Linked DNA regions of Arabidopsis thaliana. The protein of the gene in region 2 purifies or fractionates together with the protein of the main gene of each other region. This does not show direct contact. Each region holds a gene or a part of one and is shown on either strand. Other genes may lie near its edges.

Region 1 (3,758 bases), on a different chromosome or scaffold from region 2:
CAGATGGTCCGTACAGCATGGTGCTGGACAAAAAAGGTTTAACCATGTACGTTAACAAAACCGGTACGCCGTTAGTTTACGGCGGATGGCCGGATCACGATTTCCGCGGCACCGTCACTTTCGCCGTTACAAGAGAATTCGATAATTTAACGGAGCCGTCAGCTTACGAGCTTCTCTTAGAACCCGCACCACAACCCGCTACGAACCCGGGTAATAACCGCCGGTTACTCCAAGTCAGACCAATCGGAAGCGGAGGAGGAACTTTAAATCTGAACAAAATCAATTACAACGGAACGATTTCGTATCTAAGACTCGGATCTGACGGGAGTCTCAAGGCTTACTCGTATTTCCCAGCAGCTACGTATCTCAAATGGGAAGAGAGTTTCTCATTCTTCTCCACTTACTTCGTCCGTCAATGTGGCTTGCCGTCGTTTTGCGGCGATTACGGTTACTGCGATCGTGGGATGTGCAACGCGTGTCCTACACCAAAAGGATTACTCGGATGGAGTGATAAATGCGCACCACCTAAAACGACGCAGTTTTGCAGCGGAGTCAAGGGTAAAACTGTCAATTATTATAAGATAGTCGGTGTTGAGCATTTTACTGGGCCTTATGTTAATGATGGACAAGGCCCAACTTCTGTGAACGATTGCAAGGCCAAGTGCGATCGTGATTGCAAGTGTTTGGGTTACTTCTACAAAGAGAAAGACAAGAAATGTTTGCTTGCTCCTCTGCTTGGTACACTTATCAAAGATGCCAACACTTCTTCTGTTGCTTACATCAAATATTAGTGTTTTTTTGGGAAAGTTATTTACCGAATTCTTTTTGAATTCTTAGAGATTTAATGAATAATCGGTGTGCTTGTAATGATCCACCGTTGAATATATTGTATTACCTTAAAAAAAAGCCATCAGATGTATTTACTATATATATATAGTACCTTTGAGAATCAAAATACCATGTGAAGCATTATCATTATTTTGTTGCCTCTGACAAGAGTTTTGTAGTCCACTGGTCCTCCACTTGGAATACCGCTCACTTGGTTCTTAATTCAATTGACTACTGAGGTTTGTAGATGGTCGTTGGGACTCATACTGTCAAAAGAACAGCAAAAATTTTGTCACTTCTCCAACTCATTGGGCCTTTAGGCTTTGTCATAGCCCAATAATTCTATCTTAATCGGACAAACCGTGTGGTCCACTTCCCTTCGTACATATTTTTTACAAGTTTTGTGGTCTTACTTTTTACTTTTTAGCATTACATGGGATAAAAAGTGAAAGCTTGCCCAGCAGCTATGCATCCATCAACCATCAAAATCTGACTCACAGTACTGTTTTGGATGTCTGAACTTACATAAAAGATTCGATCATCACAAGATGATTATTGTGAGTTTTAATTTTTTTACTGTTAAAGCTGGCGGAGATGTTTTTATATCTGTTAGCATTATCTCGGAAATTTGTATATATATATACGACAGTCTAGTGGCGGGTCAGATAAAGGTGGAATGTGTAGTCTAGACTTTAGAATATATAAAATTACTTTATGAAGTATATTTACATACAAGACGGTAAAATCGAGAAATTTATATAGCTAGTTTGGGAAGTGTGGGTACTTAGTTATCCAAATATTCACTAATTTGAGTAGAGATCAAAATGGTGATCGGGTAGATTGCAATCTTGAAAGGATTTTTAGATATATTTTTACAGTTTAAAGTATTTAAACGAGTACATTCTATATTTAAAAACAAGTGTTTAAAGTATGAATCCGATTGGAGAATCTAAATTTTCTTTTGTCAAAAACGATGGTCAACTTTGTCTGAACAATTTTCATGAGATTAGTTATACAAAATTTGTGTAATAAAAACGGATTAACAACAATATATATAATTAGTGTTTTACTCACAACTTTTGTATATACGATAATTTTCGAAAATTCTCAGTAGACATATCTTATCCAAATCATAAATGAGCCATTGGTTGATCTGTATAACGAAGACACGATTTGCAGCTTAGGACCATTCAAAAAAAAAAAAAAAAAAAACTTAGGACTTTCAAACGAATACAGCCCAACGACCCAAAGTTAAGATCTTATATATACACCTAAAGGATATAGAAAATCATCTCACTCTACTACTCAATCTCAGTAAACATAAAGAACACAACCATGCTTAGGTTTGATTACTTACTAATCACGGCACTTGCCATTTCAACTGTTTCGGTTGTCATGGCCCAAGTCCCTCCCGAGAAACAATTCAGAGTGCTCAACGAACCCGGCTACGCCCCATACATCACCGAGTACGACGCGAGTTACCGATTCCTCAACTCACCGAATCAGAATTTCTTCACAATTCCTTTCCAGCTCATGTTTTACAATACAACTCCTAGCGCCTACGTGTTAGCTCTCCGAGTCGGAACGAGGCGTGACATGAGTTTCACGCGTTGGATCTGGGACGCCAATCGCAACAACCCCGTCGGAGACAACTCCACACTCTCATTCGGCCGAAACGGAAACCTTGTGCTCGCTGAGTTAAACGGCCAAGTCAAGTGGCAGACTAACACAGCCAACAAAGGCGTCACCGGATTCCAAATCTTGCCCAATGGAAACATGGTGCTACACGACAAACATGGAAAATTCGTTTGGCAGAGTTTCGATCATCCCACCGATACACTCCTCGTCGGCCAATCCCTAAAAGTTAACGGAGTTAACAAACTCGTTAGCCGTACATCTGATATGAACGGCTCCGATGGTCCGTACAGCATGGTGTTGGACAACAAAGGCTTAACCATGTACGTTAACAAAACCGGTACGCCGTTAGTTTACGGGGGATGGACGGATCACGACTTCCGCGGTACCGTCACGTTCGCCGTTACAAGAGAGTTCGATAATTTAACGGAGCCGTCAGCTTACGAGCTTCTCTTAGAACCCGCACCACAACCCGCTACGAACCCGGGTAATAACCGCCGGTTACTCCAAGTTAGACCAATCGGAAGCGGAGGAGGAACTTTAAACTTAAACAAAATCAACTACAATGGAACGATATCGTATCTGAGACTTGGATCCGACGGTAGCCTCAAGGCCTTCTCGTATTTCCCTGCCGCGACGTATCTCGAATGGGAAGAGACTTTCGCTTTCTTCTCCAATTACTTCGTCCGTCAATGCGGTTTGCCGACGTTTTGCGGCGATTACGGTTACTGCGATCGAGGAATGTGCGTCGGGTGCCCTACACCGAAAGGTCTGTTAGCTTGGAGTGATAAATGCGCTCCACCTAAAACGACGCAGTTTTGCAGCGGAGGCAAGGGTAAAGCTGTCAATTATTACAAGATAGTCGGTGTTGAGCATTTTACTGGGCCGTATGTTAATGATGGACAAGGCCCAACTTCTGTGAACGATTGCAAGGCTAAGTGCGATCGTGATTGCAAGTGTTTGGGTTACTTCTACAAGGAGAAGGACAAGAAATGTTTGCTTGCTCCTCTTCTTGGTACACTTATCAAAGATGCCAACACTTCTTCCGTTGCTTACATCAAATATTAGCGAGATTTATAAACCGAAACCAACGTGAATTCTCATAGATTTAATGAATAATTGGTGTTGTTATAATGCTTCACCGTTTTTGTTTTCGTAGACTCGCGTATTATGCTCAGTCCTAGTCAAGTATGATATTATCAAAATAAAAATGGATGATATTGATGTTCTTCAGATTATCAAAATTGAAATTAATAGTCGATCATTATAATGCGTCCTTTATACAATATTCAATT
Region 2 (3,758 bases):
CTGGACTTTTATGGATTGAGAGGTACATGTGACTGACTGCAATATATATATAAGTAGAAATAATTAGTTTTGAGTATTGCATAGTGTGTGATGTGACTTACTACTAAACATCCTACAAAAATGATATTAATTGAATTATTTTAGGAACAATTTAGGTAATGATTTAGATATATACATTCGAATAAAAAAAGAAAAGATGCCGAATTGTTCTATTAACGTCGCTTCAGTCCACGAAACCTGGTTATTCAAAAACATTAAGGGTCACAAGATTGAGCACATAGATTAGTCACTCATTATCATCTTACTTATTATTCATGAGCTAAGTGATTTTACTTCATTTTACTTCCCTTGTTGCTCCAGAAGGCAAGAGAATGCTCCGAGGGAACAAAGAAGAACCATTGTTCGGAGCTGGTCGGAGTCCAAGAAGCTCTGCAACGACGTTATAGATCTGCACATTCTCGAATGATGGCACTTTTTTTCCTCTACTAAACCTAGAACCATGTCCGACAAAAATAGTCCTCATCGAGAAGAGCTCGTTGTCATAACCATGGTCTCCATAGCAAACTTGAGCATTTGTTCTGTTCTGTCTGACCATTAGACCTTCTCCGACAATTCCTATGATCGGTGGAATCCGATAACTCTCTGAAAAATGCAGTCTCTCTGGTAGCTTCTCCTTCAAGTAAACTTTCAAAAACTCTCCGTTTTTTACTTTCCCTGAGCTCAAAGCTTCGTTCATCTTCGCCACGACTTCCGCGTTCTTTTCGCTTTGATTCTCGACATCTTTCCCCCACTGAGGATTGATTGCTAGCACTGGGCTGTAAGCCTGGATCCAAGCCGCGGGTATCTTGATCCAATCCGCTAAGTCATCAATGTAAATCGCTTTCTCGTTACACTCACAGTTGGTCACCATTCCGTGATCACCAAGCAATATCACATGAACCTCATCAAAGATCTCCCTCTGCTTCAGCCCCTTTATCACCCTACCAATCATTTTATCAACCCTAGAAACAGCAGTCGTAACCCGAGGATCATCAGGACCATAGTTATGACCCGATTGGTCTGGCTCATCGAAATACAACATCAGTAAATCAGGAACTTCGTCCTCAAGGTGATCAAAATGGCTCAAGACCGAATCAACCCTTTCTTCTAAAGGAACTGAAAGATTGAAATGTGGACAATATCCTTCAGGGCAAGTCCAAGAACTTTTTAGAACTTCAGAGCCTGGCCAAAAGTAGGTCACAGCCTTGAGACCTTGGTTTACTGCGGTTACCCACAGCGGCTCACCTAACCACCATTTTGGTTGTAAGCCTTTGTTGAACACCTCTCCCGTAACCGGATCGGTAAACTTGTTCATGATTATACCGTGGTAAGCCGGGTAGAGTCCGGTTGCGATAGAGTAGTGGTTTGGGAATGTCATGGTGGGGAAAACCGGGATTAAACCGTGTTTGGCCTCAGTTCCTCCGGATATGAGAAGGTCGATGTTTGGTGTGTCCGTTTTAAATTGGTAACCAAACCGGAAACCGTCGCAAGAGATCATTAAAACCACCGGTTTGTTGAGCTTCTTGAAAGGCCAGGGACGCCTGGTTTTGGACGGCCGAGAATCCAAACCTTTGGTACCGGCGTTAACGGCCGCTGCGGCTGCGATGGTGGCTACGATGAAAATATTAAGAAGGAAGATGAGAGAAAGTTTGAAAGAAATAACATTTTTGGTTTTAGCCATTTGAAATAAGGTTTGTTATGGTTCTTGCAGCTCATGTTATTTATAGAGCGTGAGAATGTAATTTCTCCCTTTTTTAATAACAGAATTAGACTTTTATTGAAATTTTGATGCTGCATATTGCTCATGTAATGCATGGGCGATCGATGGTAGTTGGTACATAATAGCTAGTGATATATAAAATCAGAATTATTTGGGGTTTTGTCTTTAATTAAGGAGGATATTTAATTGCCTGTCTGTTTAGATTTTTTTTTTTTTTTTTGTATATATTATAGCTTGGGTGTTGAGTTGGTGTTTTGATTGATAAATCATCACTACTCACTAGTACAACAATTTTTAGATTACATCATTAATATCACATAGCAAAAATTAATCAGTTATTGAAATAATGGAAATGTTATTAGTGATCATATTATTACAATGAAGTACAAAAAATTGATTAAAAAAATTAAAGGGACGTTGACAAAAGAAAATTTAAATCGGACATATTGAGGTATTTGTCAAAAATAAAATTTGGACATGAAAGATTACATTTACTACTCTATATATTTGTGTCAAATGACAATAAAAAAAATATCCTCCAACTTTTGGAATTTTGACTACTTTTCTAAATCGTTATGGCAGTTTGTGAAAAATAATTATAGATTCCTTGAATAAGTACAATATAAGAGTTAGGTAGAAGTCACGTTCACATTATTGTCAGCTGCATGATCCAGATGCGGGAGAGCCGTTGATATCTGATCTTACGGTCTTGATTTAACTCACGTGTTTTCACGTTGAGATATATCCGATCCTTTCGTGGTGACTGGATGGCCTGTGTTTGACCCTTGTCCCTATAAATGTAAAATACGCTTATGCCAACTCTATACGGTTTAAAAGTGTTTGGGGACCAGCCAATAATAGAATGTAGCCAAATAAGATGGGGCTTTTGTAAGATTGGACACATTTTAGCCCAATAATTAGAAAAAATGAATTTTTTGAATGGACTTATGGAAATAAGCATATATTGATAGGGGATATGACGGTTTTACCCCTTGTTAGAGGTTATAGTGTTGATAACAACACCATCGTTGTCAACAATTTTTTCTGCAACTCAAATCCTCAATCCCTTCTCACTGCCGCACTTGCTTCATAAGCACCATATTTGTCAACACCATCACTTTTAAGTCCATCAAAAACACTATCTCTTTTGTTTCCAATTTTCTCCGTCACCAAAACGTCGTCTCAAATTAATCCAATCAATCAAGTTAAACGATTTGTTATGGAAGAAATATAAACCCTAAGAATACTATCTAAGAAACCCAAGGGTTCTACTCTTAAAAAAGATTCAAATCAATTAATCCCCAATTCATCACTAATTCTAAACCAAAAAATTGTTCGTTATTGTCAACGTAGTTCACCGTCATCACCATTGAGAGAAGTATTGGAAAAATGAAGAAAAATTGCAGAAGGGTGAAAGCGTAACATAAACAGAGAGAGAAGTACCTATTTTTATAAGCATATGAGAAGTTACCTAACTAGACAAAGGCACAGACTTAATTGTGCTGATCTCGTAATTGATCCCAAATAAGATTGTATTGTATTAGCCTTTGAGTTTTGATAAGATTTTAGATAATATGACCCAGTGGACTTTATTTTCTAGTTGAGTATTGAATACTGAATGGTTTTTAGTTACTACACATCCATCATACAAATATGATATTTTGTAATATTTAGGAACAATTTAGGTAATGATAAGGTATATGCGTACGCGATCGAAAATATAATGTCACATAGAATTATAGAAAACATACACTAGCTAGTCACTCACTCGCATTTATCAAGCTACTTACTATTTCTGAGTCTGAGTGCTCTCTTGAGCTATAAGAGATTTTTGGCTTCATTCTAACCCCCTTGTTGCTCTGAAAGGCAAGAGAATGCTCCGAGGGAACAAAGAAGAACCATTGTTCGGAGCTGGTCGGAGTCCAAGAATATCTGCAACGACGCTATAGATCTGCACATTCTCAAACGATGGCACTTTCTTTCCTCTCCTAAACCTAGA
Region 3 (3,758 bases), on a different chromosome or scaffold from region 2:
ACAAAAGACGAAATCACATGGAAAACAAAGATTTGATTAGCCAATTATTGCCGGACCACGTACTGCATGAGATACTCCTAAAACTTGCGACGAAAGATTCTGTTAAAACCAGTATCTTGTCCACGAGATGGAGATATATTTGGCAACGTGTTCCTGGATTGGACCTTAACCAAACTAACTTCAGATACAAGGGGTTAAAGGGTTTTGTCAACAGGTTTCTAGATTTGGATAAGAAATCACTCATATACCAATTGAAGTTGGAATTTGACGGCAGGAAGTATGAGACTGAAGGATCCCTTTTCAACAAGTGGGTCGACTCAGTGGTTACCCGTGGAGTTCAGCATCTTGTGGTTGTTGCTAAAATATTTGGTTCTTGCATAAGAACAATTATTGTCCCATAAAACTTCCGGGAAGCATTTCTATGTGTGAAACATTGGTACACTTGAAGCTGGTCGAGGTAGGCATTGATAGTTTTGACTCCGTTTCTCTACCTCGTCTTGAGACTATGCATTTACTATCGGTTTGGTTTTCGAGCGAAGCGGCTCTAGAGAGGCTTATCTCATCCTCCCCAGTTCTTCAAGTTTTGTACATTGAAAAAGTTTGGAATGTGGAAGTTATACGAGTGCGGTCTCAGACACTATATAGCTTGAGAATGCGTATTTGGAAAAGAGATTTAGATTGGAACAAAGATTTAACAAAAATTGGGCTAGTGATTGATGCTCCTAGGCTTAAGTCTCTGAATCTTCAAATCCACCGGTTTAAAGACCTTGTGCTGAATAGTGTATGTTCTCCGCTCAAAGTGGATATTAGTATCTCTAAAGGAGAGTTTAATCCTATTAACTCATTGACGATGAAAACATTGCGTACATTTATTGCTTGGATATCAAATGTCACAAATCTTGCACTCAATTACTGTTGTCTAGAGGTATGTATATTTTTGTAACTATTCATCCTGAATTAATCTGTCTCGAAAACTTATTACTAATTTATTCTTCTTGGTTTTTGCTAGGCTATGTATGCTTACTCTAGCTCGGAACCATTGCCTCAGTTCTCTAACTTAACCCATTTGGAAGTTTCGATGGACTCCTCTTGTTTAAAGTTGTTACCAACGTTTCTCGCAAGCTGTCCAAACCTAAAATCTCTAGAGTTGGTAATTTTATTTTTATAAGTAACTCTTGAATTACTTAACTAAACTATACATTCTCATTACGTTTTTCGTTTCTTGTCCTTGATATTATGTAGTGGGTTCACGATCATCGTCTAGATATATTGGATATCTCAAGATCAACTATGCCTAAGTGTCTGCTAATATCGCTCAAGTTTGTTACGATATACAGCACAGCTATGATATCCAGCTCGGTTGAGAATCAGGTCGAAACCGAGCTTGTCAAATACATCCTGGGGAATGCAGCAGTTGTCAAGGAGCTTACTCTTCGATTCATTTTATGGGCAGAAGAACACAGGTTTCAACTTAGCAAGCAAATCCTTGCGTTTCCAAAGCTTTCTTCTGCTTGTCAAGTCTTTCTTCATTCGTCGTTTTTTTGAACTTGTTGTGAGGATCAAGCACAAGTGTAAACGTTATGCTTCTTAGGTGTTTTTAGTTTCCACACTTGTTCCGGTTAGACATCGTAATTTTTAAAAATTTTAAGATTTATGTGATTGGTAAATTCAAGATGCCGCAATATTATTGATATCGTAGATATCTTTGTCAGCCATTATTTGTTTGGGTTTCGTTTGGTGCACATGTAAAGAATAAGATACATGGATCTCTGCTACCCATAGATACGTGTACTTAAACTTTTAAATGAAAAAGCCAAATCTTGGCCCCTCGCAGTGGCATCTAAGAAAAATCCACAACTACATTTTTTCTTCAAAACTTAACTAAACTCACAGCTTCAAGTCTATTTTACCAAGACGGTGCTGTGATATTTTACCAATCCTCATTATCCTCTCATAGGCAGAAAATCCGGTTTCAAGTCTTCTAGAAAATGATAGTATTAAGATAAATGCATAAAAGGATTAATCATTTTCTTTCGACAAGAAAATAAATTATATGATATTCAGAAAGCAAAATAGTTATGACGAATATTCGATAATCTGCACTAGACAAACCTTATCCAAATCATAAGTCGCCATCGGCTCCATTGTACAGCACCAATTTGCTTGATCTCTTCTTCTTTAATTAGTCAAGTCGCAATTAGCAACTTTGACTTTTCAAACGAATACGGCCAATATTACAAAGCTAAACAACTTATATATACCACAACACAAGATACATCTTCTACATAATCATCTCACTCCTTTACTCACACAAGAAAACAAAATCATGTCTCGATTTGCTATCTTAGTAACCTTGGCACTTGCCATTGCCACTGTTTCGGTGGTTATAGCTCAAGTCCCTCCGGAGAAACAATTCAGAGTCGTCAACGAAGGAGAATTCGGTGAATACATCACTGAGTACGACGCAAGTTACAGATTCATCGAATCATCAAACCAGAGCTTCTTCACATCACCATTCCAGCTCTTGTTTTACAACACTACCCCTAGCGCCTACATCTTAGCTCTCCGAGTCGGACTCAGGCGTGACGAGTCTACCATGCGTTGGATATGGGACGCGAATCGCAACAACCCCGTCGGAGAAAACGCTACACTCTCACTCGGCCGTAACGGCAACCTCGTCCTCGCTGAAGCTGACGGACGAGTCAAATGGCAGACTAACACAGCTAACAAAGGCGTCACCGGATTCCAAATCTTACCCAACGGAAACATCGTCCTACACGACAAAAACGGCAAATTCGTATGGCAGAGTTTCGATCACCCCACCGATACACTCCTCACCGGCCAATCGTTAAAAGTTAACGGAGTCAACAAACTCGTTAGCCGTACATCTGATTCGAACGGCTCAGATGGTCCGTACAGCATGGTGCTGGACAAAAAAGGTTTAACCATGTACGTTAACAAAACCGGTACGCCGTTAGTTTACGGCGGATGGCCGGATCACGATTTCCGCGGCACCGTCACTTTCGCCGTTACAAGAGAATTCGATAATTTAACGGAGCCGTCAGCTTACGAGCTTCTCTTAGAACCCGCACCACAACCCGCTACGAACCCGGGTAATAACCGCCGGTTACTCCAAGTCAGACCAATCGGAAGCGGAGGAGGAACTTTAAATCTGAACAAAATCAATTACAACGGAACGATTTCGTATCTAAGACTCGGATCTGACGGGAGTCTCAAGGCTTACTCGTATTTCCCAGCAGCTACGTATCTCAAATGGGAAGAGAGTTTCTCATTCTTCTCCACTTACTTCGTCCGTCAATGTGGCTTGCCGTCGTTTTGCGGCGATTACGGTTACTGCGATCGTGGGATGTGCAACGCGTGTCCTACACCAAAAGGATTACTCGGATGGAGTGATAAATGCGCACCACCTAAAACGACGCAGTTTTGCAGCGGAGTCAAGGGTAAAACTGTCAATTATTATAAGATAGTCGGTGTTGAGCATTTTACTGGGCCTTATGTTAATGATGGACAAGGCCCAACTTCTGTGAACGATTGCAAGGCCAAGTGCGATCGTGATTGCAAGTGTTTGGGTTACTTCTACAAAGAGAAAGACAAGAAATGTTTGCTTGCTCCTCTGCTTGGTACACTTATCAAAGATGCCAACACTTCTTCTGTTGCTTACATCAAATATTAGTGTTTTTTTGGGAAAGTTATTTACCGAATTCTTTTTGAATTCTTAGAGATTTAATGAATAATCG

What was found.
Region 1: the proteins of AT4G29700 (region 2) and AT1G78820 fractionate together in Arabidopsis thaliana (co-fractionation; one large-scale study listed by BioGRID). This does not show direct contact.
Region 3: the proteins of AT4G29700 (region 2) and AT1G78830 fractionate together in Arabidopsis thaliana (co-fractionation; one large-scale study listed by BioGRID). This does not show direct contact.

The regions. Positions count from the first base shown.
Region 1 is NC_003070.9:29,634,174-29,637,931, reverse strand, and holds the start of AT1G78820 (D-mannose binding lectin protein with Apple-like carbohydrate-binding domain-containing protein), read left to right. Parts: upstream 1-2,000; 5' UTR 2,001-2,163; coding exon 2,164-3,531; 3' UTR 3,532-3,758. Other genes in the region: AT1G78830 (Curculin-like (mannose-binding) lectin family protein), read left to right, coding at 1-791.
Region 2 is NC_003075.7:14,543,405-14,547,162, forward strand, and holds the start of AT4G29700 (Alkaline-phosphatase-like family protein), read right to left. Parts: upstream 1,907-3,758; 5' UTR 1,721-1,906; coding exon 335-1,720; 3' UTR 1-334. Other genes in the region: AT4G29710 (Alkaline-phosphatase-like family protein), read right to left, coding at 3,597-3,758.
Region 3 is NC_003070.9:29,637,077-29,640,834, reverse strand, and holds the start of AT1G78830 (Curculin-like (mannose-binding) lectin family protein), read left to right. Parts: upstream 1-2,061; 5' UTR 2,062-2,326; coding exon 2,327-3,694; 3' UTR 3,695-3,758. Other genes in the region: AT1G78840 (F-box/RNI-like/FBD-like domains-containing protein), read left to right, coding at 18-350, 383-925, 1,010-1,150, 1,243-1,545.